7 linked regions of the Cricetulus griseus genome follow. The protein of the gene in region 2 interacts with the protein of the main gene of each other region in a biochemical or structural test. Links are inferred from orthologs where the notes say so. Each region holds a gene or a part of one and is shown on either strand. Other genes may lie near its edges.

Evidence for each region.
Region 1: the proteins of Ptpn6 (region 2) and Kit form a complex in vitro, tested with the Homo sapiens proteins (2 studies listed by BioGRID). The link is inferred for Cricetulus griseus from reciprocal best matches to the Homo sapiens genes PTPN6 and KIT.
Region 3: of the proteins of Ptpn6 (region 2) and Lck, one has a biochemical effect on the other in vitro, tested with the Homo sapiens proteins (4 studies listed by BioGRID and IntAct, with this or other methods). The link is inferred for Cricetulus griseus from reciprocal best matches to the Homo sapiens genes PTPN6 and LCK.
Region 4: the proteins of Ptpn6 (region 2) and Pecam1 form a complex in vitro, tested with the Homo sapiens proteins (2 studies listed by BioGRID, with this or other methods). The link is inferred for Cricetulus griseus from reciprocal best matches to the Homo sapiens genes PTPN6 and PECAM1.
Region 5: of the proteins of Ptpn6 (region 2) and Syk, one has a biochemical effect on the other in vitro, tested with the Homo sapiens proteins (2 studies listed by BioGRID). The link is inferred for Cricetulus griseus from reciprocal best matches to the Homo sapiens genes PTPN6 and SYK.
Region 6: the proteins of Ptpn6 (region 2) and Lcp2 form a complex in vitro, tested with the Homo sapiens proteins (2 studies listed by BioGRID). The link is inferred for Cricetulus griseus from reciprocal best matches to the Homo sapiens genes PTPN6 and LCP2.
Region 7: the proteins of Ptpn6 (region 2) and Pdgfrb form a complex in vitro, tested with the Homo sapiens proteins (2 studies listed by BioGRID and IntAct, with this or other methods). The link is inferred for Cricetulus griseus from reciprocal best matches to the Homo sapiens genes PTPN6 and PDGFRB.

The regions. Positions count from the first base shown.
Region 1 is NW_023276807.1:142,062,712-142,066,885, reverse strand, and holds the start of Kit (mast/stem cell growth factor receptor Kit), read right to left. Parts: upstream 2,801-4,174; 5' UTR 2,717-2,800; coding exon 2,650-2,716; intron 1-2,649. UniProt on the Homo sapiens protein: Tyrosine-protein kinase that acts as a cell-surface receptor for the cytokine KITLG/SCF and plays an essential role in the regulation of cell survival and proliferation, hematopoiesis, stem cell maintenance, gametogenesis, mast cell development, migration and function, and in melanogenesis.
Region 2 is NC_048601.1:21,673,076-21,677,109, reverse strand, and holds the start of Ptpn6 (tyrosine-protein phosphatase non-receptor type 6), read right to left. Parts: upstream 2,801-4,034; 5' UTR 2,651-2,800; coding exon 2,643-2,650; intron 2,557-2,642; coding exon 2,434-2,556; intron 2,191-2,433; coding exon 1,996-2,190; intron 1-1,995. UniProt on the Homo sapiens protein: Tyrosine phosphatase enzyme that plays important roles in controlling immune signaling pathways and fundamental physiological processes such as hematopoiesis.
Region 3 is NC_048595.1:23,482,550-23,486,049, reverse strand, and holds part of Lck (tyrosine-protein kinase Lck), read right to left. Parts: intron 1,680-3,500; coding exon 1,603-1,679; intron 1,526-1,602; coding exon 1,372-1,525; intron 1,292-1,371; coding exon 1,160-1,291; intron 1-1,159. UniProt on the Homo sapiens protein: Non-receptor tyrosine-protein kinase that plays an essential role in the selection and maturation of developing T-cells in the thymus and in the function of mature T-cells. Plays a key role in T-cell antigen receptor (TCR)-linked signal transduction pathways.
Region 4 is NC_048600.1:119,627,657-119,631,156, forward strand, and holds part of Pecam1 (platelet endothelial cell adhesion molecule), read right to left. Parts: intron 2,716-3,500; coding exon 2,440-2,715; intron 1-2,439. UniProt on the Homo sapiens protein: Cell adhesion molecule which is required for leukocyte transendothelial migration (TEM) under most inflammatory conditions.
Region 5 is NC_048596.1:271,576,977-271,580,476, forward strand, and holds part of Syk (tyrosine-protein kinase SYK), read left to right. Parts: coding exon 1-105; intron 106-750; coding exon 751-863; intron 864-3,500. UniProt on the Homo sapiens protein: Non-receptor tyrosine kinase which mediates signal transduction downstream of a variety of transmembrane receptors including classical immunoreceptors like the B-cell receptor (BCR).
Region 6 is NC_048600.1:49,261,998-49,265,497, forward strand, and holds part of Lcp2 (lymphocyte cytosolic protein 2), read left to right. Parts: intron 1-1,103; coding exon 1,104-1,198; intron 1,199-1,894; coding exon 1,895-1,972; intron 1,973-3,500. UniProt on the Homo sapiens protein: Adapter protein primarily involved in signaling pathways within T-cells, as well as other immune cells such as platelets, mast cells, and natural killer (NK) cells.
Region 7 is NC_048595.1:178,023,405-178,026,330, forward strand, and holds part of Pdgfrb (platelet-derived growth factor receptor beta), read right to left. Parts: coding exon 2,885-2,926; intron 2,348-2,884; coding exon 2,248-2,347; intron 1,473-2,247; coding exon 1,367-1,472; intron 607-1,366; coding exon 374-606; intron 1-373. UniProt on the Homo sapiens protein: Tyrosine-protein kinase that acts as a cell-surface receptor for homodimeric PDGFB and PDGFD and for heterodimers formed by PDGFA and PDGFB, and plays an essential role in the regulation of embryonic development, cell proliferation, survival, differentiation, chemotaxis and migration.

The sequences.
Region 1 (4,174 bases), on a different chromosome or scaffold from region 2:
TATGGAGCTGAGCTCAGGCTTCTTCACTGATTATTTTGGGCAAGTGACTTGTCTCCAATAGGAAAATAGTAGAGGCTGTAGTGGTCCAACCTCCTGGGCTCCCTGAGTAGGGAAACAGCAGGGAAAGCCCTCAGCATGAGGTCTGGCAGACATTTGCTGATTATAAAGCCCCACGTATGCACAAAGCACACCCATGATACGATATTTAAGGCACATTAGAAAGCGTGTTGCAAAAGCACGGCATGCATGATTTAAAACGTCATAAGAAAAAAGAAATCCACGGATGGGTGGGGAAAGTGAATTATCTGAGATCTCTTTATTACAGAACTATCAGATTATTTCCAGTAGGATCATAAGCCAAGACCAGGTGCATAAATGACTAGGGTCTTGCACCTGCAGGAAAGGGGGGAAGATCTGATTCACTGTTTCAGGACCATCCTGTTGAGCTGTAAAAGCTGCAAATGCCCAGGAAGAAGGAGGGGTTACTACAGAGCAGGCACTTGCTAGCCCTCCAAAGAGATCACAACGTAAACAAACACAAAACTGCTTCCTGCTAAGCCAGAACAGTACACACACACACACACACACACACACACACACACACACACACACACACGGAAAACTGAAGGCACCAACCCCTCCTAATTTAAATGACCCGCCCAAGGGCACATAACCAAGGAGGCTGTAGGTATGAAAAGGGGACCTGAAACTGGTGGGGCAGAACAAGGGTTTGTCATTAGGACACACTGCCTGCCAGGCAACAGACCTTCAGATTCTCTTTGCCAAAGTTATTGGTCAGAGCACACTAATCAGGAGGAAGATACAAACCATTGGTACGTTTCAGGTTTTAAGGGGGAACTATGATCTTCCTGGTGTTCCATCTTGGTCTAAAGCAGGACAAGGTGGAAAACACAAAGATCGCTGGGGTCATTTTCAGCTAAGCAGTCAAATACGCCTAGGAATCTGGACACTCATTTGCGTTCCCTGGTGACCCCTCCTCTGGGGCAGGGGTCTAGATGTAAACACACACACATACACACAACACACACACACACACACACACACACACACACACACACACACACACCACACACACACACACACACACACACACACACACACACACACACACACACACACACACACACACACACACACACACACACACACACACCACGCACACACAGAGCCCTCCCGGGCCTTTCAAAAGCATCGGGAGAGTGAGATCTGGGAAACATAGCCAGCAGCGGGCTCCAAACAGGTCAGACAGCGCTGCTGGCCTTTGGACGCTTCATTCCAGAGCGCAGATTCTCTCTAGCCTATAGCATCAAGGTAACCTTAAAGGGTTTCTGGGTTTTGTTTTGAAAACGACCTGGAAAAGACCAAAGATTCATGACCAGAGCCAGGCGACCCGCACAGGCAGCCCACCAGCGACACCTGGCAAAAAGGGGCAGGGCTAAGGAGCTCCAGGAGACTACACATCCTCCACCTTGAGACCCAAGTTCCCGTGCAGAGGTACCATGGTTTTCGTAACAGCTTGAAGAAACAAATGGGATTTGCAGGAAGTTCACCTCTTCTGCCCCATCCCACCCCATGAGGCCAGAGAATGGTTATCATGTGAGAGGGGGAGTCTAGATCTCGGGATTCCCAAAGAAAACGGCCACCTGCGACTACAAGTCTCATACACTGAGACCAGGGGTTTCCAAAGCTAGGGCGGGCTGCCTGGTCCCTCATACTGTGCGCACGAGGCGGCAAGGAACAGCTGCGTCCCCGCACGAGGTCCCTCCTTCCCAGGAGCTGGCGGCTAACGTAGGCTGCAGCAGCTCCCCGGCGCGTGGCAGCAATGTACACCGTGCGGCTGCAGAGAGGGGCGAGCCTTTAGCACGAGATTTACAAAAGGAAAAAGTCTGCAACCTAGCGGCTGCTCGCCACACGCCTGGCTCAAGTTGTCCCCGTAGCCGCCACATACAGGCTCGCGGGGTCCCGCCCCAGAGCCGCGCGCCGCGTGTCCCCCGTGCAAAAAAAAAATAGGGGGAGGGGGTACAAGCACGCCCGAGATTCGTCTCCGCGGGTAGCGCTGCGCACGACTAGAGCGACTGCGGTTGGGTCCCCAGCACTGTACACAAAGACCGCCCGCGGTGGGGAAGCAGCGGCCGCAGAGCAAAAAAAAGAAAAAGGCTCTCCAACTTTGCCCGGCGCGCGTCCGGGGACCCGCGGGCTCATCCTCGCGGGCGCAGGTCACCCACACGCAACTTTTAACAAAAGGAAGCCGCGGCCGCGCCTCGCACGGGAAGAGGACGTTCTCGGTGCGAAGCCCCAGGCCGCCAGCCACTGCCACCCGTGCTCAGTCCGCACAAAAGCATCGCCAAACTAGCCCGCAGCCTGCAGCCCCGCGGTCCCGACTCCCGGAAGACTCTCGGCTCCGGGTCTCCACCGCCCGCCGCTGCCGGCTCCTGGCGCAGGTGAGCGAGGCGGACCAACAGAGTCCCGCGGCCGCCCGCCACCTTCGCACTGGCTGTAACACACAGGCAGTGGAAAAGCCAACAGCCACCACTCTGGACGCACCCCGCCTGGTGACACCCCTCCCAGACCCAGGATTGTGCCCACGGGGTGGAGGGTGCAATCCTCTAGTCGGCCGCGCTCTCCCACCTGTCTGGCCACGGAGCAGGACAAACAGGACGCAGAGCAAATCCCAGGCGCCGCGAGCGCCTCTCATCGCGGTGGCTGCGCTAGTTTCTGAGCTCCTCTCTCTGCTACAGCTCTCGCCCAAGTGCACCAAGCGCGGCAAAGCCGAGCCCCCAGAGCCACTAGCGGCGCGCGACAGCCCCTCCTCCAGCCCTCCCCCAGTGCGCGGCCACGCCCCTCCCTCCTCCCTCCCGGGTCGCGCTCCCTCTCGCTGCCTGGTGCCCGGGACTCTCGGGATATGCTGATCCCGGGGGCGCTGTGTCCTCTGAGACCTCGAGCACCCACAGGCCATCCATCCCGGATCCTCTTCCTCCCGTCATTCTTCCTCCATCGGTGGTCCTCCTGCCCCAGGCGGCTTCCTGGCCACGCAGGTGCTGCCCGCGCTTTGTGAAGCCTGGCGCCACGCGCGCTTTAGGCACAGGCCAGCCACCTGACAGGTGCTCCCTAGACAATAAAGGACAACCACAGGGGTTACCCCACCCCCCTGCACACTTCGGCGGGCAGTGGAAGTGCTACGAAACGAGATTGCTGGGCGAAAGGATTAAGAAATTCGGCCCCCAACGTTGTTCTCCGGTCCTGCTAGTAGAGGGGGACCAATTGTGGCGCCCCACACCACGGCGCAAGGCTGAGCCCACGTTTAAGTAATTTTTCTTGCTCAGTTTCTCCACCTGCTGCGAGACCTGTAAGAACACAGCTGATTCTATTGGCCAGTGTGGACCTCCGCCCAACCAAGCTCCTGCTGAGACTTGTGGAAACTGGGCCAGTGGAGTGTAGAGAGGCTCCTTGTGAAGTAGTTAGCTTTGGAAACACGGTTTTTAAAGCCTATTCGAGTTTGGGTGCCTTTTCGCTTGTGGATTTTTTTTAGTCTATCCCCACCCCGCCCCCGCCTCACACACACACACGCACACGCACACGCACACGCACACACACACACCCTACCTCTCTCCTGCTCTGGCCAGCCTTAGGAGCAACATAAAAGTAAAACAATTATCTTTTCTTGTAAAGACTTTTTTTTTTTAAATGTGTATGACTGTTTTGCCAACATGTATGTCTGCACACCAGGCAGGTCAGAAGAAAGCAACAGATCCCCTGAAACTGGAGTTACAAATGGTTGTGAATCACCTTGTGGGTGCTGGGAGCCCAACTGCTCTGAACCCTTCTTGTTCTTAACCAGTGACCCATCTCTCCAGCTCCTAAAGTAATTCTGTTAAGAGATCTACTTAGAAGCATTTTATGGTCACTGTGGCTATACAATCCCCCAGTATAGGGTTTTTATAGTTCTGTATTCCATTATCCAGACTTACTATTAACTTTGAGAAGTAGGGAGAATAAACGTTTATTATTTTAGCTCTTAAAGTGACCCAAGATTACACACCTAATAGTGGGGAGACAGAGTTTGAAGCCTCATGGGTATTGTGTTTTCCCTTTATATTCTCTTACTTTTATAATTTTATGTGTATGTCAGAGAACAAATTTTGAGAGTGTGTTC
Region 2 (4,034 bases):
GAGTGGGGCTCAGTCCTGATCCTTCTCAACTCTGCCCAGAGGACACCATAGCTCAGGGCCCTTCAGAGGCTCCTACCCCAACCCAGATGTCCTGGGCTACCCCAGCCTATCTCGGAGACAGCCCAGGGCCCCCAAGCAATGTGAGGGGGCTCAGCTCCTTCCCTCAGGGACAGGATGAGGAAGTCTCCATGCAAATGTGAACTGACCACAGGCAGAGTTCACCACTGAGGGGACAAATGCAAATTTCCCAGAAGAGGCAGGGCAAGGACACAAGGAGTATTGGGCCATGGCTTCCGCACACCCTAGAGTTAGGGATGAAACTGAGCTTCTGGGTCATCCAAAGTGCCTCTTGGAGTCATCCAAACCCCTCAGTGGTCTGTCACCCATGTAGTGTTGCATGCTTCCCCTGTCTGTCCTACCCTGCTTCCCTGACACCCGTCAGCTCCCCCCTCCTCCCCTATCACAGTGAACATACCAGCTACAATTCTGCTATGCCTCCACAGTCCGTGTCCTCTAACACAGCAGATCCTGGCTTGACAGCAACAAGGGGAGACAAGGAGGTAAAAGAGCATCCAAGAGGCCAAACCACCTTAAGTGTTGCAGGTAGGAGGGGGAAGGAGAGAGCATGAGGCATGCCCTTCCTTTCCATCCACCACCAGAGGAGAAAAGCCTTCAAGGAAGTGTAGACCAGCCTCTTCGTGTTGGCTGGAAAGGGATCTCCAGAGGTGAACCACAGGGGCTTTTACCCCAATCATTCAAGTTCTACCTTTGTTTGTTTGTTTGTTTCAGTTTTTTAAGTCAAGGGTTTCGTAGCCCAGGCTAGCCTCAAAAGTGCTATGTAGTTGAGGACGAATTTGAACTTGTGGTCTTCCTGCCTCCTCCTGGGATTGCAGACATATGTCACCACTCAAGGTTTATGCAATACAGAGAATCAAACCCAGGGCTTAATGCAAGCACTTTGCCAACTGATCCACAGACCTTAGGCCTCCAGTTCCAAGTTTTAATAGGTGACTTGAACAAAAATATTGAGCTAAGTCTGTAGGCACAAATCTCAAAAAAGACTACAAACCACTGGGAAGTGGCTCAGTGGCAAAGCACATACCCGATAAGCACAAGGTCCAGAGTTCAGGCCCCAGCAGAGGGTCTGGAGTCGGGGGTGGGGGTCAAGGTTCAGAATCATTTCAACAGTAAATACACAAACCCAGAACAAGTTGGTATGCGTGGCCCCAGAAGTCCATGAGAAAGAACCCCCTAGTGTTATTCCATGCCCTTTACCTCAATAGGAGCTGTGTCAGTCACTATGCTGTACAGCTAAGATGAGTTACTGTGTAATGAAGGACATCTATTTATATGCCTCTCCTTGCAAGTGCTCTGGGGAGACCACCCAAGAACAGCCAGCCAAGTTATGGGGGCCATGTCCTTGCAGCTCTGGTGAGGGATATCCCAAGTGTTTCCTGGAGCCGGGTAAGCCTGGGTCCTTACCCCTCTATACCTGTGACCATATCAATGACCTTGCTTCACCCAAGCTCTGCAACCCCATCCTCACTGTGTTGTTGAGATAAAGCCCTAAGTATCCCAATAACAGGGATCCCTAAGACCTTCCTAACATGGGGACCTAAAAGGCCCAGACTGTGGAGAGCTGAGGGAAGGCAACAGAGTTCCATAGAAGGAAGAGCTTTCTAGCAATAGGGCCAACCTGATGGGAAACACCAGCCACAAGGAGTGGCCTCACTGTCACTCTCTGGACTAGGTTGCTAGACAGCAGGAACCCTACAGAAAGGCAAGGGGAGCCCTTCTCTTGCTTCCTCAGGGGACAGGGGATGGGTTAGTTAAGGGACTCATCAGGTAGAGAGGAAAGCGGCTAGGGCTCTGAGATAGAACAGGGGTGGCAGAGTAGGCATGAGGAACGGACTGAGCAGGTCACTTGGGCTGGGTGCTCCTCTCCTTTACACTGATCTCAAGGGAGCGGGCCAGCCTGCAATGCGCGCGGCTCACCTCTCGCTGGTGGGGTCCGAGCAGTTCAGTGGGTACTTGAGGTGGATGATCGTGCCATCTCGGTCCTGAAGGATGCCCTGCTGCTGAGTGTAATACTCCACCAGCTCCGTCAATGTTGCAAACTTCTCCCCTCCGTACAGGTCATAGAAGTCCCCCGAGTTCTGAATCCGAATATGGGTCACCTGGTCATCTACCCTGCAAGGCACCAGGGAGTGAGGCCCCAGGTACAGGAGCAGAAGTGGAGTGGGGGACAGGCCAAGGGGCCCGAATGCAAAAGCACACAGGACTGGGGTAGACGCAGACGGTTATGGGGACACACTAGGGCTGCAGGCAGGGACACCGCTGCAAGACAACATGAGAAGGCAATGCAACCCAGGGAACAGAAGAATGCTCAGGACCCAAGCCATGAGCTGCCAAATCGCCGGGAGGGCCACTCACCTGACTGAGAGGGAGAAGTCACCCTGGTTCTTGCGACTGGGCCGAGCCAGGAAGCTCCCAGGGACTCCCCGGCCCTTGAGCAGGGTCTCGGCATCAGGCCCACTGAGGTCCCGATGAAACCACCTGAAGGTGTACAGGGTGGTGAGGTAACGTGCCCCGGGCGCCAGGCCACCCTTCCTTTCTACCTCCCATGGGCCCCAGGCCCTTACCTCACCATCCTGGGGCTCTTGCTGAATTGGCTGCGGAGAAGGTGGAGGGAACAGCCTGTCTGGGCAGGTGGGAAAACTCTAGGGTTGAGCCTCAAGCAAGGCTCTCGGAGCCTAAGCCTCCTACAACCCCAACCTGCTGTCCTGCTACCAGGCTACCACTCTACTGGCCTGGGGCAGCCAGCAGGGCGGAGACAGGAAGGGGCGCGGCCGACCCCTTGGGGGAACTCACTTGTACTTCTCTTTTCAGAGCAAGGGAAGAGAAGCAGAAGGGTGGCAGGGTGGGGGAGGGCCCACTTCCCACAGTCTGCCATCAAAGGCCCAGGAGTATGGCACTCTACATAGCAAGAGGTAAGGACCGCGCTTATGCCCCGCAGCCCCTCCAGGCCAAGATCCACACATGTGACTCCTCATGGCCATTAGGTCACCTCTTCCTCCTCCACCAGCTGCTTCTACTCAGCATTCCTTGGCACAATCTAATAATGATGGTGTGCAGTGACACTGTCATTTAATGGAGTGTTGCCACATGCCAGACTCATTGCTACAATGTTATTTGCAGGCCTCCCATGAGTTACTCCTCACCACAGCCTCATTACACAGGCACTATCTTTATACCCACTTTACAGACAAGGAAATGGAGGCTAAGGGAGTTTGAGGAATTGCCCGCAGGCCTTACACTTAGTAAATTACCCGATTCAGACCTAAATAGTTCAGTTTCAAAGCCAATGATTTGTAAATACTGCCTGCCAGCCCTCAGGACCTAAATTTAGAACGGTAGTCAATAGATGTCTTGTCCAAAGGAGATATTATCACAGCAGAGAGCCCCCACAAAAAGACCTCAGGCAGCATTGCCAATTATGGGCCTCTTCTATTTTCAGAGACTGTTTACAGGCCTCTTTTCTCTACCCTGAGTCTGAGCGAGCAGGTGTGTGTGTGTGTGTGTGTGTGTGTGTGTGTGTCCTGGAAGCTAGGGTTGGTGACCAAGCTCCTAACAACAGCAGATACAGCAGATGCTCACAGGGATAGTAACTTTTAAGAGCTCTGAGCCCAGCCGGGCATTGGTAGCGCACGCCTTTAATCCCAGCACTCAGGAGACAGAGGCAAAGGATCTCTGTGAGTTCAAGACCAGCCTGGTCTACAAGAGCTAGTTCCAGGACAACAGCCTCCAAAGCCACAGAGAAACCCTGTCTCAAAAAACAAACAAACAAAAAAAGAGCTCTGGGCCCAAAGTCTTATGACGGCCTGTGTATGTAATCCTCAGTATAAATTAAAACAAAAAAAAAAAAATCAAACACTACCAAGCCAAGAGCAGAGGAAAAACAACCTGCCCAACAGAAGAGTCAAGAAACTCCTATTGGTGTCTTCCTTTGGGAGAGCCATAGGCTGCTGGGGAAC
Region 3 (3,500 bases), on a different chromosome or scaffold from region 2:
AAAGAAAGAAAGAAAGAAAGGAAGGAAGGAAGAAAGGAAGGAAGGAAGGTAAAAAAGCCCCTAGGCAAAAGGTAGATAACAAGAAATAGGTTAATCTAAGTAAAAAAATCTAGCCAGAAAGGAACCAAGGCTAGGCTGAACATTCATAACTAATAAGAAATCTTTGTGTCATGATTTGGGACTGGTACAGCTGAGTAATGATGAGTAATGGTTTAGTGTGGCCTAAGCACTGTCCTGATCTCCTATTTAAGAAACAAGAATCTGGGCATTGGTGGTGCACACCTTTAACCCAGCACTGGGGGCACAGAGGCAGATGGTTCTCTAAGAGTTCAAGGTCAGCCTGGTCTACAGAGTAAATTCTAGGACAGCCAGGACTAAGTTACTCTGAAAAAAGAAAAAAAAAAAAAAAAAAGGAATGGTCTGGTAAAAGTCAAACAGAAATCTATCGGAGGCCCAGCTGGTAAGAAAAGGAACTTTTGGGCTGGAGAGATGGCTCAGCGGTTAAGAGCACTGACTGTTCTTCCAAAGGTCCTGAGTTAAATTCCCAGCAACCACATGGTGGCTCACAACCACCTTGAATGAGATCCCTCTGCTGGCATGCAGGTAGAAGACTGTATAGACTGTATTCATAATAAATAAATAAAATCTTAGAAAAAGGGGCTGAAGAGATGGCTCAGAGGTTAAGAGCACGGACTGTTCTTTCAGTGGTCCTGAGTTCAATTCCCAGCAACCACATGGTGGTTCACAACCATCTGTAATGAGATCTGATACCCTCTTCTGCTGTGAAGCTATACATGGAAGCAGAATGTTGTATACATAATAAATAAATAAATTTTTAAAATCTTTTTAAAAAAGCAATTAATAAAAAAAAAAAGAAAAGGAACTTTTATACCCTGAGCCAGACCCATTCCTGTCACACTAGGTGATCTTTACCAGAACTGAGTAAGGAGCTAGAGTTTTTGAGAGATGAGGGGTCTCAGAGATAGAGATGGAAGTCAGTGCTGGGAGACGAAGCATCTAATAGGGGTTGCTGGAGTCACAAGCCCAAGGGGATGGAAGAGAAGCAACTAGAAATTTCAGGGTTTGAGCCAGGGAAGAAGTGAGTGGGGATTTGCTGCCCTTCCTTATAGCCCTCAGAGTTCCTTCCCTTAATGCTCACCTGGGTAAGGGATTCTGCCATGGGTGACGATCTCTGTCAGCAAGATCCCGAAAGACCACACATCGGACTTGATGGTGAAGGTCCCATAGTTAATGGCTTCTGGTGCTGTCCATTTAATGGGAAATTTGGCCCCTAGAGGGAGGCAAAGTGAGGTCACCTGTGTATGTTTGCTCTGCTGCAGACTCTGAACCTCCTCTTTTTCCTGCACCTACCCTCCCTGGCTGTGTACTCATTGTCCTCAATGAGACGTGCCAGGCCAAAGTCCGCAATCTTGCAGCTCAATGTGTCGGACACCAGGATGTTGGCAGCCCGAAGGTCGCGATGGATGTAATTTTGCTCTTCAATGAATGCCATGCCCTCTGCAATCTGCAGGCCAGGAATAGGTCATCAGTCTTAGGCCAACTGAGCTGCAGCCAGACCCAGCCCTTTTTCATCCTCCTCACCTGTGCTGCCATGTCCAACAGCTTGTTGATGTTCAGTTTGATGCCTGAGGGAGTCTTGAGAAAATCTACTAGGCTCCCTATGAGCAAAAGCAAGAGTTGGAGATCTAAATTGCCCGGGAGGAAGTCCCTAGAGCCTTCTGCTCCATCTAGGATCTGGAAGCAGTGACTGACAGTGGCAAGGAAGAATAAGGACTGAGAAAGAGTATGTGCTCGCCCGCATGTGGGGGCCGGATTCTTAGCATATGAGACAGCCTTTTCCAGAGGGTTAGGATGGGGAGCCAAAGGAGGAGCCAAAGGCTTCCTGCTCTGGGGTAAGGTAGAGCCCCAGTTCCACAACAGCCAAAGCTCTGCACGAGCCACGCCTGTATCTCCTCCCCACAGACATGGCTTTCTCACTCTACCACAGACCGTCTTTAGATCCTCCATACAGACATCTAGACGCCTCAGTCTCGTTTGCTTGCTTTGTTTTTCTAGACAAGGTTTCTCTGTGTAACAGCCCCTAGCTGCCCTGGAACTAGCTCCGTAGACCAGACTGGCCTTGAACTCACAGAGATCCACAGGCCTCTGCCTCCCGAGTGCTGGGATTAAAGGCGTGCGCCACCACCACCTGGCCATCCCTGGGGCATTTAGGAACATCCCCAAGTCATAAACTCTGCTTTTCTCAGTGTCCATTATCAAAATGAGGTTTCATCTGGGTAAAGATGGTACATACCTTTAATCCCAGCACCCAGGAAGCAGAGGCAGGAGGCTCTCTACAAGTTTAAAGTCAGGCTAGTCTATGTAAAGAGTTCTGGGGCATCCAATGCTACATAGTAAAACCCTGTCTCAAAAGGCAAAGAGTAAATTAATAAAAACAAAACCCTGTACAAGAATGACAATCCTGAGACTGGAGAGTTGGCTCACAGTCTTAAGAGTACTTGCTTTTCCAGAAGACCCAAGTTCGTATCCCAGCACCCATGTCAAGGGACCACCTGTAACTATAGCTCCAGGGACTGTGATGCTCTCTTCTGGCCTCCTTAGGCAGCAGAATGCATACACACACACACACACACACACACACACACACACACACACACACACCTATGCATGCATATATGCATGTGCACACATACAAAATAAAAAAAAAAAACTCCTGCCAGTTGGTGGTGGTGTGCACCTTTAACCCTAGCACTTAGGAGGTAGAGGCAGGTGGATCTGAGTTTGAAGCCAGCCCTATCTACAGAGAGAGTTCCAGGGCATCCAGGACTATACAGAGAAACCCTATCTCAGAATAGAGATAGAAAAGAAACTACCAATGACAAAACCTATTTGCCATTTCCAGAGCTCATTAACCAATGAGCAGTTTGTTTCCCTTCCTGCAAGTGACAGGTTTTGCACTCTAAACAATCTGAAGCACATAAAAACAATGCAGGACAGATACTGTTTCTTCCGTCCTCACAGAGACCATATAGGGAAGCTGCTTTCATTAGTGCCACTATGTTTTAATTACATACATTTATTTACTCATTGCATGTGTGTGTTGATCAGAAGACAAGTTGCAGGAGTCTGTGCTTTACCTCTGTTGTGTGGATTCCAGGGATTTGTCTTGTCAGCAAGCACCTTTACCACCTTTACTTGCTGGCCCTAACACTATTTTACAGATCCAAAAGAACTACTTGAAGCATAAAGAAGTCATGTGATCAGCCCAAAGCCATACAAGCATAAAGCACCAACTCTGTCTAGGCAGTCAGACTCTTGGGTCCTTAATAAATGTGCTATATATTGGGGCTGGAAAGATGGCTCAGCAGTTAAGATCACTGGCTGCTCTTCCAGAGGACCTGGATTTAATGCCCAGCAACCACACAGTGACTCAAAACCATCTGTAACTCCAGTTCCATGGGAATCCACACCTGCTTCTA
Region 4 (3,500 bases), on a different chromosome or scaffold from region 2:
GCACCACCACCACCTCGCAGTTTAATTTGCTCATTTATTTATTTGAGATAAGGTCTCATTATGTAGCCCTGGCTGGCTTCAAACTCACCATGTAGACCAGGCTGGCCTTGAACTCAGAAATCTGCTGGCCTCTACCTCCTAAGTGCTGAAATTAAAGGTGTGCACTACCACGATCTGCCCTTATTTTATTTTGTTTTTTAAGACAGAGTCTCATGAAACTGGCCATGACCTCCAGATCTTCCTGTGTCAGATTACAGGTGTGTGCCACCAGCCCCAGACACTCATCTGCTTTTGAAACTGTGTTGTTATCTCTAGTCTCAAAGAAACTGGAAAAGTCACTTGGCCCAGAGTTCAGGGCCCAGCAGAGTAAGTTCAATGGAGAGGGTGGTCATTCGTTCCTCATGCAGTTTCCTGGTTCTAGCCTCCTACATTCAGACTGTCACCAGCTCCTCCTGTTGACATGGTTTCCCCAGCTGTGCTGTTTCCGAAGCTAACTCTCCTCCCTTATCGTCTCCATTACTATTTGTTTTGACAGTGAAATATGGACTTTCTGGAAAGTTGGCCCTCAGTCTTCCAACTCCACTCTTTTTAAAAAATAACATTTTGAGCTTGCCAGGTGGTGGTGTTGCACGACTTTAATCCCAGTACTCGGGAGGCAGAGGCAGGCGGATGTCTGTGAGTTAGAGACTAGCCTGGTCTACAAGAGCTAGTTCTAGGACAGCCTCCAAAGCCATAGAGAAACCCTGTCTCGAAACACCCCCCCACCAAAATAAACCATTTTGATCTATTTATTCTGTGCACAGGTGTGCACGTGCCACAGTGGGTGTGGAAGTCGGAGAACAATTTGTGAGACCCCCTTCCACCATGTGGGGTCCCAGGGATTGACCTCAGGTCATCAGGCTGGGCGGGCACCTCCACCTGCCGAGTCATCTCGCCAGGCTCTCCATCTCCACTCATGGGAGTTTCACCTCCATACTCAGCTTTTATTTCTGAGCACTGAAACCTAAACTGAAGCTTCCTGTCCAGACAGCTTCCCGGAACCCGAGGCTCCCTTCCCACCTGGAGACTTAGAAAGCCAAAAGTGCTGTGCCCCCCACTGGGCCCTTTTCCTCAGCAGCATTCTTAACCATTCAGGCCACATTCCCTACTAGTGACAGTGGACTGGCCAACAGACGTGAGTCACCTCTCAACGCAAAGGGTGGTATGAGATCTAAAGGAAGCTAAGCATCTGACCTGGGATGGCCGCGGTCCCACACGGGGACAGCCTGAGCACATTGCCACGGGGAAGAAGGGATTAGTGGTGAATTGGTCTCAAGAGCCAGACTGCCTGGGCTCAGATCCCAAGCCTACCACCTACCCTGTATTTGCTCTAAGTCTTAGCAACTTCATTGCAAATCCAAGGGTAAACTATGATGAGTCTCATGTGCTATTTTGAGTATTACTAGGGATAATTTGCTACAATGCTTCACCAGGCCTGGACATCTGAGGAGGGCTCAGTAAATGCTAGCCACTAATACAGACCCAATTTAAACCATTTCAACTCATGGCTTCCTCCTGGGTGTTCACACTGACTTCTTAACATCTGGAGGTGGGAAGTCTCCACTCCTCAACACCAGCTGAATGCACAGCAAGCAGGTTCCCCAAACCCACTCTTACCGCACCCCTCTTCCCTCTCTTGTCCACTGAGACTCGGGTATTATGTATCCCAAGCTGGCCTTGATCTCACTATGCAGCTAAGGATAACCTTGAACTACTGATCCCCCTGCCTCTACCTAGAAGTACTGGGATTATAGGCCTGTCGTAGTCATCCATTGCCTCTCCCCTGTGGACAAGTCTTGCCCTCACCAGCGCATGTAGACCGTATGCTTTTATACACTGTACATTGATGACACAGAGTTGTTAAACAAAAGGTGACAAATGACAAGAGAAGGAAGGGTGGCTAAGGGTCTATCAACAGGATTCAGAGCAAGGTAAGCAGAGGCACTGCAAAGGCCACTCAAAGGCACAGGTCAGACACTGAGGGAAAGCTCTCTGTCCCCAAGACCAAGGTGAGGATCCCAGGCGGTTCCCGTGAACCAGTGTCTGCCAAAAGTTTCCCTGTGTGACCCTGATGTTCCACCAAGGTCAATGGCAGAAAAGAGTTCCGGCCTGCAGCTCTTGTGAAAAGGTACAAAACCAAGAAACCCCAAATACACAATATCAGCAGTTCCTTAAGACCAGCCACCTTCCCTTTTCAGGAGATTCAAGGGTCACTTGAAAGATCAAAAGGAATTACAATGGCCATGCCAAGAGCCCCCGTCTTTCTCAGAGCCGTTTGTGGGGGCTTAGTTCTGCTTTGATTGGCTGTGTGAGATACACAGGTACCATCCCTGTTATCCCCACAACCCCTAATTGACATCAAACCTTCCAGCCTGTTAAAGCCCTGCCCTTCTTGCTTACCTATCACCTTGACCCTCAGGGTCTCGCTGTACAACTGAGGGTGGGAATGGCAGTTGTTCGCCATGCACTGGTATTCCACATCTTCGATGGGCTCATCTGTGAATGCTGCTGGGTCATTGGAGGTCACCATGCGATCCAGGAAGACATTTGTGTCTTTTATAAGGTGGTAAGTGACAGGTGCAGTTCCATTTACAGACTGGCAGCTGATGGTTATGGCATGTCCTTTTATGATCTCAGCCTTGGCATCATGAAATATCCTAGGCTTAGACAGCATTTCTAGAACAACAGAGAAAAACAATCCAAATAAAACAGAAACAACAACCCAAATTTTGGGCTTGGCTTTCTCCATCGAGATCATGATTTCAAATGTCTGCCTGATTTACCATTAAGGGGCTCCTATAAGGTTACCAGGCAATGCCTGTCTGTGTGTGTGTGCATTTGGTAACACGGGAGGAGAAGAACTATGGTAGTTAGATGGGGATGTAGCCCAGTGGTAGAGCATTTGCCTAGCATGTGTAAGGTCTCAGGTTCAATTCCCAGCACTAGGGCAGTATAAGCAAAATAATGATATAATAGCTGGGTATGGTGGAACACACCTGCAATTCCACACCTGGGAGGGCAGGCAGGGAGATCGCAAGTTCGAGGCTAGCCTGGGCTACATAGTATAACCCTGTCCTGTCTCAAAGGAGAAGGGGAAGAAGAAGTGGGGAGCAATGAGGAGAAAGGAACAGGAGGAATAAGAGAATGGACGCGGAAGAGCTAGGTTTCGTGGCACCTGCCTGCCTGCAGGTTCACCAGCCAGGCACGATGTGGGCACTGGGAACTGAACCCAGGTCCTCTGCAAAAACAGCAAGTGCCCATAAACACTGTGTAATCTCTCCAGGCCCTGTGTGTGTGTATGTGTGTGTGTGTAATGAATATGAAGGTCAGAGGACAATTTGTAGGAGTTGTTCCTCTGTTTCTACCACGTGGGTCACAGGGACTGAACTCAGGTCGTCAGGCTTGGCAGCAAGCACCTTTATCCAGTAAGCCATTTTGCCCGTCCTTCCTGGCGTTCTCAA
Region 5 (3,500 bases), on a different chromosome or scaffold from region 2:
GCCCCTGAATGTATTAACTACTACAAGTTCTCCAGCAAGAGTGACGTCTGGAGCTTCGGGGTCCTGATGTGGGAAGCGTTCTCCTACGGGCAGAAGCCTTACAGAGTGAGCCGTGCTCAGCTGTGTGTCTGACGTCTCAGCCGCGTGCCTTAGGAAAGCATCACTCAGTGTAGATCGTTGACACAGGAACCTGGGGACACCCCGGGGTCTCTCATCACCCTCTAACGGCGGGCAGTTAGTGCAGCCTCAGCTTACGGTAACCTGGGCATGACATGATGCTAAGTGAACGCGTTTCCACTGTGTGTTAGGTACACTCAGCAGACATGGCCCCAGACCATCCTTCTTGAGAGTTAAAATAGAAATGGTGCCAGTGACAGCGTCAACTATTTTAGCCGTTGCTATGTGTGTGCTTGTGTGTGTGCACGTGTGCACACTTTCCTGCATGTAAGCAGGTCCTACAGTGCCACTCAACAGATTGTCGCGAATAAAAGCCCTGCATCCCACAAAGCCAATCCCTAAATGAAGAATCAGAGCAGAAACCCCAAAGCCCGCCTTCTCCCCAACACATCCAGCCCTTCACACTGGGCAGTCACATCTGACTCTAGGAGTCCAGAGGAAGGGCCCCTAGCATTGTGACAGATGTCACCTGAAATTGCACAGCCTGTGTCTGTGTCCCTCTGTCTCTGGGGGTGAGGTACTTTTGTTTGTTGGCCTATGTTTGAAGAGTTTGTGTGCATTTCCATGTCTCAGGGGATGAAAGGGAGTGAAGTGACTGCCATGCTGGAGAAAGGGGAGCGTATGGGGTGCCCTCCAGGGTGCCCCAGAGAGATGTACGACCTCATGAACCTTTGCTGGACGTACGAGTGAGTACCAAACCCTTGCCGCCAATGACCCGGCGGTTTATAGGAGTAGATGGTGTGGCTAGTGTCCTAGTTATTTCTGTTGATGTGATAAAATGTCTCTGCTAAAAGCTAACATAGGGGCAAGGGATCTATTTTACGTCAGAACTCCAAATTACAGTCCCTGATCACAAGGAGGTCATGGCGGCAGGAACTGAAAACATTTGGTCGCATCAGCGCAGTGGAGAGCTGAGAGAAAGGCTGTTGTGCGTGCTTTTGGTGCTCGTCTCACTCCTTTCTGGGAAGGGCCAGGATTCCCTGACCCAAGGACGGTAACCCATGGTGGCCTGGGTCTTCACATCAAATAACATGACCAAGACAATCCCCCATAGGCCCGCCTGTTCCAGACAACATTGAGACTGTCTTCCCAGGTGGTTCCAGACTGTGTCAAGTTGACAATTAAAACTGCCCTTCACAGCTGGTGTCATGGTGTTTGTGACCCCTGGGAAAGGACCACACAGACCTAATCCAATTGTAATTAAAAGACTTATTGATTAGCTGCTCTGGGACAAACAATCTAGGAGCCAAATTTGAGAAGGCAATGAAGTGGACTGAGGGGTGGGGGGGTGGAGAAGGTTCTTTCTTTCTTTCTTTCTTTCTTTCTTTCTTTCTTTCTTTCTTTCTTTCTTTCTTTTTTCAAGACAAAAACCACAAGAAGACCTTCATATCTACGCAAGCAAGCAAAATCTGGTCTTTTTTGTCAAGTTCAGTGGTTAAGGCAACTCAAGACACTCTTTAGGTATCTGCATAAGCAAGTTACAGAAGCCAAAAAGCAGCTGGTCATATCATAACAAGTAGACAGCCATTCCTGTACATCTTTGGATAGGGTGACAGAGTCGGGGTGACTGGGAACTTATCTTCCAGGGACTGGAGTCAGTGACAAACAGCTGGTGGGTACCAAGATGGATGCATAGCATAAAATGGAGTGTCTTTAGCCATCACACTGAGTATTAAAATGAAGTATGAATTTTTTTTTGATGTATCAGGAATGCACTGCCTTCTACGTAAGTGATGGCAGGAGGTGGGGCCAGAGATCGACTGTTTTACTATCCAATCATGTCTCTTTGAGGCAGGGACAGTCATATATGCATTTTGCAGCTGTGGGAACATAGTAGAACATACTTAGGACAGCTGCAGAGTTATGCTGCAGAGCTGTTGGGATTTTATGAGACCGTAATGTGGACTCGAGGAAATCACAGAGTCCCACATGGCATCTCAAGCATCCAGAACAGCCCCTGCCTCTGACAGTGTCTGAGCGTATCCCTGCTTCCCCAGAGCCTCACACCCAGTCTAGAAGCTCCTGATGACCACAGGCAACTCAGGGCTAGAAGTCCCCACACAGTGGGGCAGGGCTGCCACCCGCCACACTCAGACTGCTCCGCCCACAGGGTCAGAAGCCCCACCCCATTCTTAGGGGCAGTGTGCTTTGCTTTGCCTAACAGCTGCTGAGCGGGACACTGTGTGCGTGGTGACAGCACCAGGAGCCACTAGGCATGTCCAGAGGCGCCTGTCAGGGAGGGTCCCAGCCACTGTGCCGAAGCCTTCTGGTGCCACCGAGATAGGAGATGCTCCCTGTTAGAAAGATGAGCTTGAGACCAGTCAGCTCTACAGAGCTCTGCCCTGGGAGGAATTCCTGGCCCTGAGATTCCCACAGACTCTGCACCAGCAGGTTTCCTAGGTTATTTTTTTTTAATTGTGTCTGGTGTGAGCATGTTTTTCCTGCCTTCAATCCCTGCGCCTTCAACCTCAGGTACTACGAGAATCCTAAAGGTGATTTTAAAATGTCAGAATTATGTGCAGAGACTGATCCCTGTGCGCAGTGGGTGCAGGTTTGTGTGCATGTGTGTGTGCGTGCAAGTGTGCTCGCCCGTGCATGTGCATGTGGAGGCCACAGCTGACTTGGGTGTCTTCTTCCATCACTCTCCACCTTGTTGTTTCTTCATTTACTCTTTTGCCTCTCTCTCTCTCTCTCTCTCTCTCTCTCTCTCTGTGTGTGTGTGTGTGTGTGTGTGTGTGTGTGTGTGTGTGTGTGTGTGTAAGTACATGTATATGCAAGTATTAGAGTGTGCCCCAGAACATATGTGAAGGTCAGAAGAAACTTTTGGGACTCAGTTCTCTCCTACTGTGTGGGTACTGAGGATCAGATTCAGGCCCTTTGGTTTGATAGCAAGTGCCTCTGCCCACCGAACCACCTCACTGGACCTTTCCACTTTATTATTTGAGGCAAAATGCCTTCCTAAACCTAATCACACCACTTCTGCTTTACTGGCAGCCAGCAAGTCCCATGGGAGTCACGTGTGTCCACCCCCCAGTGCTGGACAGATAGGTCCGGCCGTATCTGCCTTTTATATAGCTGTTGGTGACCCACACTCAGGTCCTCACACTTGGACACAGACACTTTATACACTGAGCTGTGTCCCCAGTCCCTGTGCCATTTTATAGAAGGAACTTGAACGCCAGAGGGTTTTGTTAACCTGCAGGGCCAGGAACCCCTCCCCCCCCATGAACACAGAGGGAGTGAGCTCCCTTTCAGTCAGGAGGTAAAAATTTCTCCCATCATTTGCTCACCTCGGCATCTCACTTGTGAGCAGCACAGACCCA
Region 6 (3,500 bases), on a different chromosome or scaffold from region 2:
TGTACATACAGATGCCTGGCAATCATGTTCAAGTGGATCTAATTCAGGAGGGCTGGGTGTCACCTGAGATGGCATTTCTAGCAAGTTCCTACAGGACATTGATGCTATTGGTCCATGTTCTAGCAAAGGTCTGTGAGACAGGACTGCACTGGGATGATTTTAAAGCAAATGATCAGTTTATGGTGCCTTCTAGTCCAACAGTTCTACATCTTGGGGAATTGTAAAATGAAAACAAACAGAAAGACCACAGCAAACACTGGCTCTAAAGTAACACTGTTCTCAAGCCCTTCCCTTTCTTTCTGTGAAGACACTGAGCACATAATTAGCTCTTCTCTGCTGCCAATGTGAGAGCTGTTGGTGAGGCATTCCATGTGTGCCGTGATGGCAGGCATCTACGAAAGGTCTGCTTTTGGCATGTTCATATTGAGGCACACAGTCAAACAATGTGGTTATTTTTATAAATGGGCCCTCGTTATGTTGTGTGCATGTTTAGGGGTTCACTGAAATGTCAGGGTCTTTTCTCAAAGTTTCTCCAGCATGGTATGGAACATGGCCCAAACAGCCCTCATATTATGAGAGAAGTAGAAATTATTTTTCCAACCTCATATTCTTTTTTAATTAATTAATCTTACATCCTGGGGGCAGTTTCCCTTTCCTTCTTTCCTCCCAGTCCTTCCCCCATCCTCTCCTTCTGTTCCCACCTCCCCCAGTCCACTCACTCCTCATCTATTTCTGTTTAGGAAAGGACAGGTCTCCCACTGGATATCAACAAAACATGGCATATCAAGTTGCAGTAAGCATCTCCCCATGTGTTAAGGTTGGGCAAGAAAAACTAGTATGAGGAAATAGGGTTCTAAAAGTCAGTAAAAGAGTCAGAGACAATCCCTACTCCTGCTGTTAGGAGTCACACAAGAGGGTCAACCTACCTAACTGTAACATATATGCAGAGGGCCTAGGTCAGTCCCATGCAGGCTCCCTCCAACCTCATAATCTTGAAAAATGAATGCCCCTACTGTCATGGGGGTATCTGTGATGGATGTGCTATGAGATGAGAAAACAGTGGCCGACACTAAATTAATTTTCAAAATATTTTGCTTTGAAAGGTCTCAGCAATAGACCACCTCTCAGAAATGAAGGCAGAAACTTATCCATGCCAGTTCCAAACAGGCCACAGCCTCCATCTCCTGAAGAAGAAGAGGTAATACAGCTGTTTCTAATTTTGTTTGCTTTTCTCCCTAGCAAAGGGACGATAAGAAACTCTCCTAAGCTGCTCTGCTCTATTTGTGCCTTCTGTTAGAGCTTTATTGCCATTTAATTAAGAGGGCAGCTGTATAGCTCAGTGGTCAAATCCTTGCCTAGCATTGGGTGAAGCCCTGCCCTGGATCCACAGCACCACACACAATAAACCAAAAACTGAGGGGAAGATGTAAATGAAAACTAATGTTCTCTTTAGTGTTCTCTCACCGTCTTCCAGGGGCATTAAGAAATGATAAAAAAATAAGCCCAGTTTTTCATGTTTCCTGGCTTATAGCCTTGAATGAATAAGTCTCATAGTTGCTCCACTAAAACAGATTTTTCATTGATTATGTTACTACTATATAATAAGCTGGAGAGTTCGTCTATCTCTGTCTTTCTAGATCAAAGTCTCCATTACATAAGGGAGGCTCCTTCCTTCACAGCTGCTTTTGCAGTCAGTGGCATGCTAAGGAAGCACTTTGCACAAAATGTTTTCCATGCAGCCCCATCTAAAGGACTCAAGTCAAGAAAACAAATGTTCTAAGTCTCGAGAATTGAGGTGGTGATTTATGGGAAATAGTATTTTTTTCCTTTTTGTTTCTTTTCACTTTGCTTATGTAACTATAGAACTCACAGTGCTTTTAAAATTTATTTGCAGATTCCATTAGATGAAGAGTGGTATGTCTCTTATATCACCCGACCAGAGGCAGAAGCTGCTCTTAGAAAGATAAACCAGGTATCATTCTATGCTTTATGTTTATGCAGTTATACATGTTAGTGGAGGAAGGGGAGGGTATTGCTATGCACTGGCACTCAAGTATGAACTAGCTGCTGTTCCCGCTGCTAGGTGCTGTTCCTTTAAGAGCCATTAGTGCTACCATCCTACCCGCTAGCATCCATAGAATGTTTCCTCCAAGCCATCACTATCCGTCAGTTGGCAGATATTAGGCAGTTTCATTAATGAGTGTGTCTCTATTTTTTTGTCAAAGGAATCGTGTATCATTTCAGACATCTTACTAATTTATCTTCCTCTTAACACTTGTTTGCCATTCAAGATCATGAGAAAGACCCATGATGAAAGCATATCTGCAAAGTCTTCTAGAAATTTCTAGTTAGTCTTAATGTTATAAAGTCTTACTCATGTTCCAGTACTAACCCTTAACCCTGAGTTCCTGGGTCAGAGATGAGAGAACAACAACCCTTTAGCCTTTACATTGTTAACGCTACAGCAACCATTTCCAGCCTCAGCAGCCGATTTGGTCATCTGGGGTAGTTTTTTGTTTTTGTTTTGTTTTGTTTTGTTTTAAATTTGGGTTCCTGAGTTTTGAGGCGATTGTGTTAATAAGTGTGGGGTGGGCTGAGAGGGAGTCTTCAGGCTCCGCAGGTGATCCTGAATTCAAGCCAAACCTGTGACTCACTGGTCCAGAGGGAAGTTCCTTTATCAGCTATGTTCTCAATGGCTCAATTAACTATGAGCAAAAGGAACAAAGGAACAGTGCTATTGCATATTGATGGCCATTTAAAACCCATTCTAGTTAAGTACATAGAGGAGGGAGTGATTTACATTGGTCTTTCTAATTAGCTCTATTTTACTATTAGATCTTTGTCATGTTTTATTACATTGAAATAACTCTTGTATGAAATGTAAAATACAGAGCAAATCACATTTTAGAAAGTAAAGGGGAAAGAGGTGACAAGAATATACAAAGTCCACATTCACTTTTGTTCAGGTGTGAGATGGGTAAAAGCTAAACACAGCAAGTGTGTGGGACAAAGGGCAGTGCACTTCACAGGCAAATAATGAGGGTGTAGAAAGGCAAGTTTAGAAAACTAACAGAAGTGAGCAGGTATATGGTAAGTAAGCCTCCTTACTTCTTGTGGCGCATTACTCACCGACTGATTGTTTTTATTACTTAAAAAATGTATAGTAAGAATCTTCAAAAGCAGGGCGGTGATGGCACATGCCTTTAATCCCAGCACTCAGGAGTCAGAGGCAGGTGAATCTCTATGAGTTCAAGGCCAACCTGGTCTACAGAGTGAGTTCCAGGACAGCCAAGGTTACAAAGAGAAGCCCTGTCACTAAAACCAGAACCAAAAGCAACAAAAAGCTCCAAAGATGTTAACTTGCAAATTTCAGATGCAATCCCAGTTGTCTTCCTTAGAAATCAAAAGACCCAGAGTACCTGGGGTCCCCAGCTCTGAGGAGAACTCAGTGTCAATTTACAAGTGATAGCTTTGTCTGCCCCATAGGCTTGTCTCTTAAC
Region 7 (2,926 bases), on a different chromosome or scaffold from region 2:
GCAGTGCTCCCTGGAGCGCTCTGGGCATGGCAGCCATGACCCACACTAACAGCTGGGGAATGTTAAATGTTTCCTCTCTGTCCTAGGGACTAACACAGTACCTGCAAAGGGTCTTGTGGCTACACCCTTAAAAGGAAGAGCTATCTTGCAAATGGGTTCCCAATCATCTTGTTTCATTCCAATCTGCCCTTCCTGCCTGCAGCTTCAAGAGCTGAATAAACTCCAGCCTCTGCTGGCCACTGGAAAGAGTTTGTCCTCACTCTAGCTAGATGTCACTCTTTCTGTAGCAAGTCCAGCACATACCCACAAACACACTCACAAACACATGCACTATACACATGAGTGCCTGGGACCAAAGGGTTAGGGTGATTACCTGGCAAGGCTGGGGGAACCCTCTAGGAGGCCCTCATCGGCAGCGTCAGGCTTGGGGTCAGGCAAGGGGATGATGTAGTCATTGTCACCCTCATTGGGTTGCACAGCAGTGTAGAGGACAGAGCTAGTGTCCAGGGGAGCTCGGAGGCTATGGAACCCTGGCAAGCGAGCTTGAGACCTCAGGATGGCTGGGTGGTCACTTCTCAGAAACTCCTCATCTACCTGCTGGTACTTCTGCTCCATAGGGCAGGGAGTAAAGGAAAAACATGGGTGTGAGATGGGCAACATCTTAGAGACCCTCTACCCCAGCTAGTACACAGAGACAGGGGTTCTATTTGAAGCTGCACCAGTGAGTTGCCTTCCTACCTGGTATCCCAAGACAAGGCAAATAAATGCTCAGAGTCGCCTAGGGAAGGGCAGGTAGCCAGCCAGCACCATGACCCTAACTCCTACCCCACTTCAGAGTAGACAGATATGGGCCTTTATCCCATTGTAGTCTCCCACAGCCTTCTGCTGGGAGACTGGGTCAGTGTCCCTTGCTGTGAAATAGTGGTGACTTCATTCTGCATTGATCTCCCTAGCACCACCCCCAGATAGGAAGAAGCAAGAAGCTGAGCTCAGGACAGACTTGATCCATTGGCCTCGCGTGAACCTGGGACAAGGTTTAAGTGTAGTTGCTGCCAGGGTTGAGGAGAGCCTGGGGTTGCTCACACTTCTGAGCAGCCCCAGTGTTGTCATGGTGCACAGGATTGACAATAGGGTTATCGACCGACTGACTGTACCTCCCTTGGTCAAATTCATCAGCTTCCACATCTTGGTTCTATTAAAATAAATTCATAGCTCTGGCCTGACTCTTTCTAGTACCAGCAAGGAAACTGAGGCCCAGCACGTGGGAAGAGTATTTCCTCCCAAATACCAGCACATCACTGCAAGTCCAGTGCACAGCGTTTGGACCAGAACTGTCTCCCACCCCGCCTTGTCTGTCTCCACATACCTTTTTATAACCCTCACCCAGCAGCCTCTCCAAGAGCAGCACCAGCTGGGAGAAAGGGGGTCGAGTCTCAAACTTCTCTTCCCAGCATTTCTGCATGATCTCATAGCTGAGGGAGGCAGAGAGAGGGTCAGAGTCTCTACCTTAGAGACATATAGTAGGGCTCAGAGTAAAGTGAAGGGGGAGATGCTGGGGAGGAGCGCCCTGGGGCCTTGTTAACACCATCATTGTTTCTCACCGATCCCTTGGGAAGTCTTTCCAGCTTCCCTCACCCACATGATTCTGTGTGGCCCAAAACACCACGGTGAGCATGTGACCTGAATTTGGTCAATAGGGACTTCCATCCTCCCAGAGCAGGCCTGGTTTTGATGGCATGTGACAAACTGAGCCCTTAAAGTTTAGTTCTGGGTGGGGCTGGAGAGATGGTTCAATGATTAAGAGCACTTGTTGCTTTTGCAGAATAGTTGGATTCAATTCCCAGCATGCACATGCTGGCTCACAGCTGTCTGTACCTCTAGTTCCAAAGGATCTGACACCCTTTTCTGATCTCTGAGGGCATCAGACATGAATGTGATGCACACACAGTCATGCAGGCAAAACACTCATACACTTAAAATTTTTAAAAGGTCAGCTCTGGGTCTTTGGCTGGAGTAATGCAAGCACTAAGATGTCAGGGTGGTGCTAACAGCAGCCACATGAGCAGGACAGGCTTGGATTTGAAACCAGCATTGAGAAAGTGAAAACCTTGACTGGGACAGAACTTCCGGATGGCACCGTCTTAAACACCTTGATCCAGTTCTAGCAGGACTTGTCTAACCTCTGAGCTAGAGCTGCATGCCCTCTGAACCCTCAAATTCCTCCCATGTATACAAGGTTCCACTCACATCTCATCAGAGGCATGAGCAGGCTGGGCCATGCGGTAGCCTCTCTTGATGGCATTGTAGAACTGGTCATTCATGGGCAGCTCTGGGTAAGGGGTACCACCTGTCATGGAACAGAGACAGGGACATTATTGTCTCAGGGTGTGGGAAGTGGCAGGGTGTCTTCTCAGGCAACTGACCTGGAGTGTATGAGAATGCAATGCCCTTGGCATTGGAAGTAGAGATGGGAATAGAGAAACAATAGATACACAAGCAGGGTTTGTGTCTATGTTGTTTTGTTTGCCAAAGATGGAGTCTTTGTGTGGTCCAAGCTGGCCTCGAACTTTCCATCTTCCTGACTTCCAAGTACTGGGATTACAGATTTTCATTATTATAGCTGGCTTTAAGCATGATTTTCGATATGTCTAACCTCTTTGATGCTTGGATGGGAAGACAGAGACCCAGAGTCAGCAAAGGACTTGCCAAAGCCATACAGTGGAAAGAGTGGCAGAGCCTGGACTTGCTCCTGAGTCCCTGCTCATGTTTCAGTGTCTGTCCCACAGTCCCTGCTTCGAGCCCCAGGAGCAATCAGGAGGGAGGTAGAAGCAAGAGGGTAGATGGTCTGGTGTATAGTTTGGGGCTGAGGGAAGAAGCGGCTCACCCAGTGTGAAGATCTCCCAGAGCAGGATCCCGAAAGACCACA